Linked DNA regions of Danio rerio. The protein of the gene in region 1 binds, or shares a complex with, the protein of each later gene. Links are inferred from orthologs where the notes say so. Each region holds a gene or a part of one and is shown in the gene's direction. Other genes may lie near its edges. The genes, in order: itpr1a and cnn1b.

Evidence for each region.
Region 2: itpr1a (region 1) and cnn1b share a complex: the UniProt entries of both Homo sapiens proteins name them as parts of the cGMP kinase signaling complex. The link is inferred for Danio rerio from reciprocal best matches to the Homo sapiens genes ITPR1 and CNN1.

The regions. Positions count from the first base shown.
Region 1 is NC_133181.1:42,473,133-42,477,394, forward strand, and holds the start of itpr1a (inositol 1,4,5-trisphosphate-gated calcium channel ITPR1), read left to right. Parts: upstream 1-1,416; 5' UTR 1,417-1,541; intron 1,542-4,262. UniProt on the Homo sapiens protein: Inositol 1,4,5-trisphosphate-gated calcium channel that, upon inositol 1,4,5-trisphosphate binding, mediates calcium release from the endoplasmic reticulum (ER).
Region 2 is NC_133178.1:13,111,408-13,115,876, forward strand, and holds the start of cnn1b (calponin-1), read left to right. Parts: upstream 1-1,569; 5' UTR 1,570-1,655; coding exon 1,656-1,715; intron 1,716-4,469. UniProt on the Homo sapiens protein: Thin filament-associated protein that is implicated in the regulation and modulation of smooth muscle contraction. It is capable of binding to actin, calmodulin and tropomyosin. The interaction of calponin with actin inhibits the actomyosin Mg-ATPase activity.

The DNA.
Region 1 (4,262 bases):
GTGTCATACTTTACCAGTTGCACTGTCCCAATTCGCCTGAAACCTGCTGTGTAATAATAATGATTTCTGATTATTTTTAATCTTTCATTTTTAATTAACCACCAATAAACTTTGAGTATTTGTTTAAATTTAAGTATTAGGTAGAAAAGATTTATTATTAGGAATATTTAATACCAAAAGTGTCCTATAATTTAGCTGTTTTGACATAGTCTGTATACATCAAAATCTTTGAGTCCTTCTCTGTTAACACATAATGACTTAACTTTGATCAGAATTCACAATATGTCTTTACGTTTCTTTTCAAGTATCTAAATAAAATAAAATAAAATTATTCTGAATCAATTTGTCTACAAGTAAACTTCAACAGACAGTTGTAGGATGATCACTGAATCCAAAAATGCACTCAGTCTAAGATGATAAAATGGCTTTAGTGATACTGAAGATCACTCTGGTTATTTATAGGCTACATTTTCTGTTCAGGCAACATGGTGGCTCTGTGGTTAGCACTGTTGCCTCACAGCATGAAGGTCACTGGTTCGAGTCCAAGCTGGATCAGTTGGCATTTCTGTGTGGAGTTTGCATATTCTCCCCATGTTCGCTTGGGTTTCTCCAGATGCTCCGGTTTCCCTCACAAGTCCAAAGACATGCGGCAAACTAAATTGGCTGTACACTGAAAAAAAAATATTCAAAGATGATTCCTTGGATTTACACTTTTTTTACATTAAGTGGTTGTAAACAATTTATTTGGGCTGAATTTAAACAAACAAATTAAGCTGAACATTATTAAATGTAATTAGTTTGTTTAAATTCAACACAAATAAATTGTGTGCAACAGTTCTGTGTGTGAATGAGTGTGTATGGATGTTTCCCAGTACTGGATTGCAGCTGGAAAGGCATTGCTGTGTAAAACATATGCTGGATAAATTGGCGGTTCATTCTGCTGTGGTGACTCCTAATTAATAAAGGTGAAGGAAAATGAATGATTTTTTCTGTTCTGTAGCCTATTTAAGAAACAATTTTGTGTACCACTTTATATTAAGAACTCACTCTTGAATCAATTTGACAGTACACTTGTCAGAAATCTAAACATATAAATGAGTACAACACATTTTAAATGTAAGTAAGAGAAGTTACTAGCTATATGACTCCCCAGTCTCATCCGCATATTTTTTGCTTATTTATTTGCTCTAAGTGAAAGCAGTTTCTCTTGTCTCTACAAACTGTTCACACACACACAAAATAAATAAATAAATAAAATAATTTATTTCTTTCAATGGGGAATTTCTGGGTCTTGTAGTTCTTTAATATCGCAGATTATTAAAGTAGCCGTGAGGCGCGGCACCGCTGAAACACTATTTCCCAGAAACCCCTTGAACTCCGATGCAGACAGAGTCACTCGGCAAGCCGAAAAGAGACGAACATCATCGGGGCGATGGACCGCTGCTGGACTTGATGAAGAGTCGGGATAATAACTTTCTCAAACAGTGGACGCAACGTTTGGGAAAATACCGACACTATTGCCCCAGCTTCGTCGGAGAGAGGTGAGATCTTAGCTACACAACTATAACCGGACTACTAGAAGTTGTGTTGAGGAAACATGCTTTATTAAATATTTATGTTATCTGCGGGAGAGCATCGCGCGCGCCCCGCTGATCTGAACCCGCCCCTAGGTTAGAAAAGCTGCCGTGAGAAAGTCGCCTACAGAAAGATGAAGAAAAAGATACAAAGTCGGCGAGGACGACACAAGTGTGTCAACTGTTCACGGGTGATGGGTTTCTTCTTGTTTTATGGAAATGCTTCAAAACGTAGTATTAAAGAAGTCAAGGAAGGGTCTGGTGCCCTGAGTTTCTAAAATGACTGTTTCCTGTATAGTTAATGTATCGCAGCTTACTCTCATTACTGTCTTTTTACGCTTTGACATTGTTGACACGAGGATATAATTAGTTTATTTGCTGAAGGAAGATTCAGCTGTTGCTCAATAAGGGACAGTTACAACTACAACAGCATTATAAGAAGCTACATGCAAAACAACAAGTAACAAATGTATAGTTTTAATGTAATATGTGCAAGGTTTTTCTTTTGTATGCAGATGAACTGAAGACTACTCGCATGCAAATCCCTCCTCCGCTCTCTCTCTCTCTCTCTCTCTCTCTGTGTGTGTCTCTGCGTATTAACGGTTTGGTTGGCTAATCATTTGTTAATCAAATCAAGTTACAGGAAGAATCTGTGGTGAGGATACAAGCGTCAAACGAGTTACATGGAACTGTTACAGTCATCCTAAAAAACGTTCAGAGTTTTTACTTGTCATGTTTATTTTTTTTTTTGCAGTAGATTGCCATGTCAAAATATCTTAAATGTTGAGTGATCCACATTTTTAACAGTGATAGATATAGTGTAGAATTTAAAGGGTTAGTTCACCCAAAAGGCTGAGGGGTTAGTACTGCCAGCTCAGAGCAAGAAGGTCGCTGGTTCGAGTCCTGTCTGCGTCAGTTGGCATTTCTGTGTGGAGCTTGCATGTTCTCACTGTGTTCACGTAGGTTTGCTACCGGTGTTTCGGTTTCCCGCACAGTCCAAAGACATGCGCTATAGGTGAAATGAATCAGCTAAATTGGCCGTAGTGTAGCTATGTGAGAGAGTGTATGGGTGTTTCCCAGTACTGGATTGCAGCTGAAAGGGCATCCGTTGTGTAAAACATATGCTGAATAAGTTAGTAGTTGATTCCGCCGTGGCGACTCCTGATGAATAGCTGAAGGAAAATGAATGAATGAGTTCACCCAAAAAAGAAAATTATGTTGTTAATTACTCACTTTCATGTCATTCCAAAACCATTAGCCCCTTTCACACAGTGATACCGGTAAATATCTGGAAAATTTCCGGAACGACTTTACCGGTATATTCAAAAAAGCGCTGTTCACACAGGCGAGGACGTTACGGAAATTTTCCGGAAATGAGCATTCACACATATCCATTCCAAAATACCGGTAAATTGTCACATACAACCTTTAAACGGCTGCGCTTGTATTTGTAAACATTTGACTAAATTACAAACTCTGTGGATGATCAATATTGTGAACAACTTTCGCAGGATCACTTTCTCATGTCGAGATGTTCATAATATGTGCGTGTGCAGGCGCTCACAGGCTGTTTCAAAGGCACACGCCAAGCTAAAAGGTAAACAAACAACGGCTTATCATAAGCATCTCATCGATGATTATTTACACAGTTGGCATAAAGAAGAACATATAAACGTGATCTGACTAACTTCTAGCAGCTAAATGTGTCTGGAAAAATATTCAAAGGTTTTTATTCTCACAAACCACGCGGACGTAAATGCGTCTGACTGTTATGATTGGCTAAAGCAGACGTCTCACGTCAGCACGTTCTAGACGTGCACGCGCTTATTACGGGAATCTTCCTTCTGCGTTCACACAGCGCAGCATTCCGGCAAATTGTCGGTAATGTTACAACTTCTCTTTCCGGAAAATAGCCAGAACGAATTTACCGGTATTTTCAAAAAGGACCTGTTCACACATACAACCTTTCCGGAAAATTGCCGGCAATTTTCCGGAAAGGTCTGTATGTGTGAAAGGGGCTATTGAGACTTTTGTTTAACTTTAGAACACAAATTAAGATATTTTAGATGAAGTCTGAGGCCCCAGTTTACATTAATACGTTTTAGTTTTAAAATGCATGTTTTGCTACGGGTACGCCTTCTGTCCACATTACCACATTAGTTTTCGAGCCCAAAAAATGAAGCGTTTTGGAAATGCTGGTTTCAAAACACTGCTGCTCTGTGTCAGTGTGTTGATGGGGGAATGCAGAGACATCTGAAAAAGAAGCGTGGCTGCAGACATCTGATTGGGGCTTTTCTCAATATTAAGTACACAAAGTTCAGTCTTAAATACTTTCCTTAAGTTCAGACTTTGCAAGTTTGATATGGAAAATAAACTTCTGAGGACAGGTCGGGTAAATCTTCAAAGGGAACAGTGTACTTTATACCCTCATTCTCATCACATTGTTTATGTTGTTTTACTATCAAGATAAATTCAATATCACTTTTAACAACCAAGATGATGTCCAGTGGTAGATCCTTGATGAACTGTCTGACATCTGCTGCTCTCACCTGGGTAGGTGTGCTCAAAGCACCCGTTGACTGCCTGTAGCTCAGGCGTTCACATACACTACAGCGCATGCCAGAGTGTGTGTTTAGTCATGTGAGGTGCGTTTTAAGTGATGTTGTGTGAACAGAGATCTTTTCAGAA
Region 2 (4,469 bases), on another chromosome or scaffold:
TTAAGTTGACTTAACTTTTAAAAATTATGTACATGGTTTCTTGATAATGAATAGTTTACTTTAGTAGTTCTCAATTGTTTTTCATCAAGTACCACCTCAGAAAAAAAGTTGTCTTTCCAAGTACCACCGTAATGATGAGGCAGATTAATTCCTATTACAGTTTTTCTCAGTGGCTTTGCTGCAGTTCTCACAACACTATTTATATTTGCACAACAGGTAAAACAATTAGTCGTTTGTGCACATCATAGTAGCAGTTTCTCATTTCTTCAAACAAATTGTTTGCTTTTGGTCATGCATCAATTGCTTTCATACAACTCTCTGCTGTTTATAGCATCATTTGCTTATCAGAATGATTAGCCCCTCTTTGAATAGTTCATCCCCCCCCCCATGATGTATAGCAGAGCAAAGGAATTTTCACAGTATGTCTGATAATATTATTTTCTTCTGGAGAAAGTCTTATTTGTTTTTATTTCGACTAGAATGAAAGCAGTTTTTAATTTTTTAAAAACATTTTGAGGTCAAAATTATTAGCCCCTTTAAGCTATATTTATAATAGGCTACAGAACAAACCATCATTATAATCCCTCTTAATAATAACTTGACTAATTACCCTAACCTGCCTAGTTGACCTAATGAACCTAATTAAGCATTTAAATGTCACTTTAAGCTGTACAGAAGTGTCTGGAATAATATCTAGTCAAATATTATTTACTGTCATCATGGCAAAGATAACATAAATCAGTTATTAAAGATGAGTTATTAAAAGTATTATGTTTAGAAATGTGTTGAAAAATCTACTCTCTCTTAAACTGAAATTGGGGGAAAAAAATAAACGGGGCTAATAATTCACGGGGGCTAATAATTCTGACTTCAATTTAAGTGTTCAGATGCAAAAACCTCTAAATGCCATGTGAAATTTCCATTGAAAAGAACATTTGTCTTAACCTCATATGTTTATGTAGAGATATTTCACTTTAAAGAACAGGATAAGAACTTATTCTTTGCTATAAAAGTAATATTATTGAACACACACACAGGAACCTGATAAAAATGCTCATTTTAGAGGAAAATTCCAGATGGCATTTAGAGGTTTTTGTATCTAAACTCTTCAATTGTGTCTCTTATTTGACCTTCTTTATAAAGAGGCCCTTAAATTTCATCATTGAATATTATCAACATGATACACTTTGATATAAGTACGGAAATTGCGTTTCGCTGGAAATAAATGTGTTAAATCATGATCATGTGCCATTCATAATTCGTTTTACTCTAAGGTTTGTTTGTTTTGGGTATTTTAGTTAATAGACATATTTGGTGCTGTGTTGCGTCAGCACTTTAAATACGAAGCAAAAATCAACCGAGAAACACCAAATTGGACGAATCAGAGGCATCCCTAACTCACTTCAAAGTGGAAAAAGTGACATGGGACGCGTTTAATGCCATGCCGGTGACATCATTTGTGCAGAGCTGCGTGACGTCGCGATTGGACGTCAGCCCCGGCCAATCGGCGCTCGCTCCGCGCACGCACAGATGGGAAGAGTTTAAAAAAGATTGTGGAAAAGAAGATGTGGCCCAAACCTTCCCCACATGATCGGACAGTCGGACCGGAGATTCCAGATCTAACATTATATCGCCGCCCTCTCGTCTGAATCACGATGTCAACGCAGTTCAAGAGCGGACCTGCTTTCGGACTGTCCGCGGAGGTCAAGAGTAAGGTAGGCATCACTTTGATTGACAGCTGTCAAATATGCGCAGGTAGCACGTGCGGCTAATAAAATCAGACAGATTACTGTATCATTTATTCAAGAAAACATTACTTATGTAAATGGAATAGGTTTATTATGAGTGCTTGCATCATTTCAGATATATCATAACAGGTTGTTTATGTATGATGAGATGGTTGTAGGGATCTTACTCGACAAATGAACTTCACCAAAGTCAAAACAAAAGTTTAAAGGGGTAGTTCACCCAAATATAAAAATGTCCTTAAATTCGCTCACACTAAAGTGCTTCTTCTCCTTTATGAATTTCTTCTGTTGAACACAAAACAAATATTCTGGGGAATGTTGAAAAAAGCCGTCATTGGCATCCATTGTGGGAGCAAACAATACTAAGCAAGTCGATGGTTGTTTTTCCAACATTCTCAGTTTAACAATCTCTGTTTTTAACAGAAAGAAAAAAACCTCAAACGGGTTTAGAACAAGTGGATTAAGAGTACATGTTGACAGAATCCACATTTAGGAATGAGGGAGATCTTAAAAATCCGTATTTTATTACAGTAGTTGTATCGCACAATTTTGTTTTCTTTATAACAGCATTTTGGCTGTCAGAAATAGTACAAAGTATGTTAAGTTGACGCTCATGAACAGACATATCCATAGCAGCACTCAGTGTAAAAAGTGCTGGGGTCCACAAAGTTGATTTGTGTTAAGACAACGTGAAGGAACTTTACAAATTTAGGTTGATTGAACATGAAACAATTGAGTTGTACCAAAAATAAACTCATGAGTTGGGTTGTTTCAGCTCATTTTAAATGAGTAATTCGAACAAACAGCAAGCGTAAATCTTTCGAGTGCTCCGAGCTCGAGTAATGTAGGCTACTTTCTGGTAAGTCGATGATTGACATTATAACACACAATCATTTTCACTCTTTTATAGGTTAACGCTGTGTAAAGTGTTACTTAAACATTCGTTGTTAGTTGTAAATGTTTAGTTAAGAGGTAACGAAAGTTAGGCTATAGTTCAGGCTGTGACAAACTGCAAATACTTTAATTAGACTTGTAAAATATTTTTAACAAATCATTGTAAAGTGGTTAAATCATAGTTTTTTTCACAATACTACAGTAATAAAGTGTAAAATTCAATGCATAGGCTCTATTTGTCTGAAGGCAGCTTGAAATATTATCTAGGATTATATTAAATATTGGAACATTATGAAATGTCTTACAGGTAAAAATTTGTTATTTACCCTGTAATAAGTGTAATAGTAAAAAAAAAAAACGTTACAACTATTTGTTTCTGATTTTAGCCCATAATAATTCATTTTGGGGGCATCACAGTCGCGCAGTGGGTAGCATGATCGCCTCACAGCAAGAAGGTTGCTGGTTCGAAGCACTGGCTAGGTCAATTGGCATTTCTGTTAGGAGTTTGCATGTTCTCCCCGTGTTGGCGTGGGTTTCCGGGTGCTCCGGTTTCCCCCACAATCCAAAGACATGCGCTATAGATGAATTGAATAAGCTAAATGGGCCGTAGTGTATGTGTGAATGCAAGAGTGTATGGTTGTTTCCCAGTGTTGGGTTGCAGCTAGAAGGGTATCTGCTGTGTAGAACATATGCTGGGTAAGTTGGCGATTAATTCCGCTGTGGCAACCCCTGATTAATAAAGGGACTAAGCCGAAAAGAAAATGAATAAATGAATAATTTATTTTGTGACTCTATATTGATTGATATTCATTTGGTTTGATTCACTTATTTTATTCTTTGATTTTGACCTAAAACACATTAGCACATTGTTCTGATGTAAAAGTTACATCTGTATAAGCCTCCTTACATGATCAAAATTTATACTGTAACATTGGCTTCTGAAGTGAAGCTTGAAGGTGCGTTACACAAGAGTTGGCATAAATGCAATTAAATAGCAAATACAACTGTTTATTTGTTGCTAAGAGGTGTAAGTGTGGGCAAAATGTAGTCTGGCTTTTATGTAGCATTGCATTATTACAATTATTTTTTTTTAGCTCTCACAAAGCACTCTTAACTCTGCTATGTAAATATGTTTTAAAGGGCCAGTTCACACAAAACTGAAAATTCTGTCATCATTTTGTCACTATTAACTTTTCCAAGTCTGTTTGAGTTTCTATTTTGTTGTTGTTATTGTTGTTGGTGTTGTTAAACCCAAAATAATTCATTTTGAGAATTTATTTATAAATCTATAACCATTGACTTTCATAGTACTTGTTTTTTTCTGCTATAAATGTCAATGGTTACCGGTTTCTAACATTCTTCAAAATATCTAATTTTGTATTCAACAGAAAAAAGAAACACTTGAAGGTTAGGAACCACTTTAGAGAGAGTAAATAGTGAGTAATTGTTCATTTTTGAGTTAACAAACACATCTATGTTGAGCTGCTTTGAAACAATCTACATTGAGCGAATCGAATAAAGATGAATTGAATGGTTTGCAGCACTCTAATATGACAGTGTACACATAATTCCTGCACACATCACTGTTCAAACCTCTTCCAGTTGTTGATCTTGCATGATAGGGTCCCTTTGAGCTCGGAGAATCTGATGTTCCCCATTCAGACACACAGGATCTGTACGTGCATGACTGAGCTGCTGAGCGAAAACATGAACACAGTGTGCTTCCAGACACCAGAGTCACACACAGTGCAGCAGCCGTTTTAATTGTTTTCAAAAGATCTCTCTTATACACACCGGGGCATCTGTGACACGCTGAAGCATGCTAAA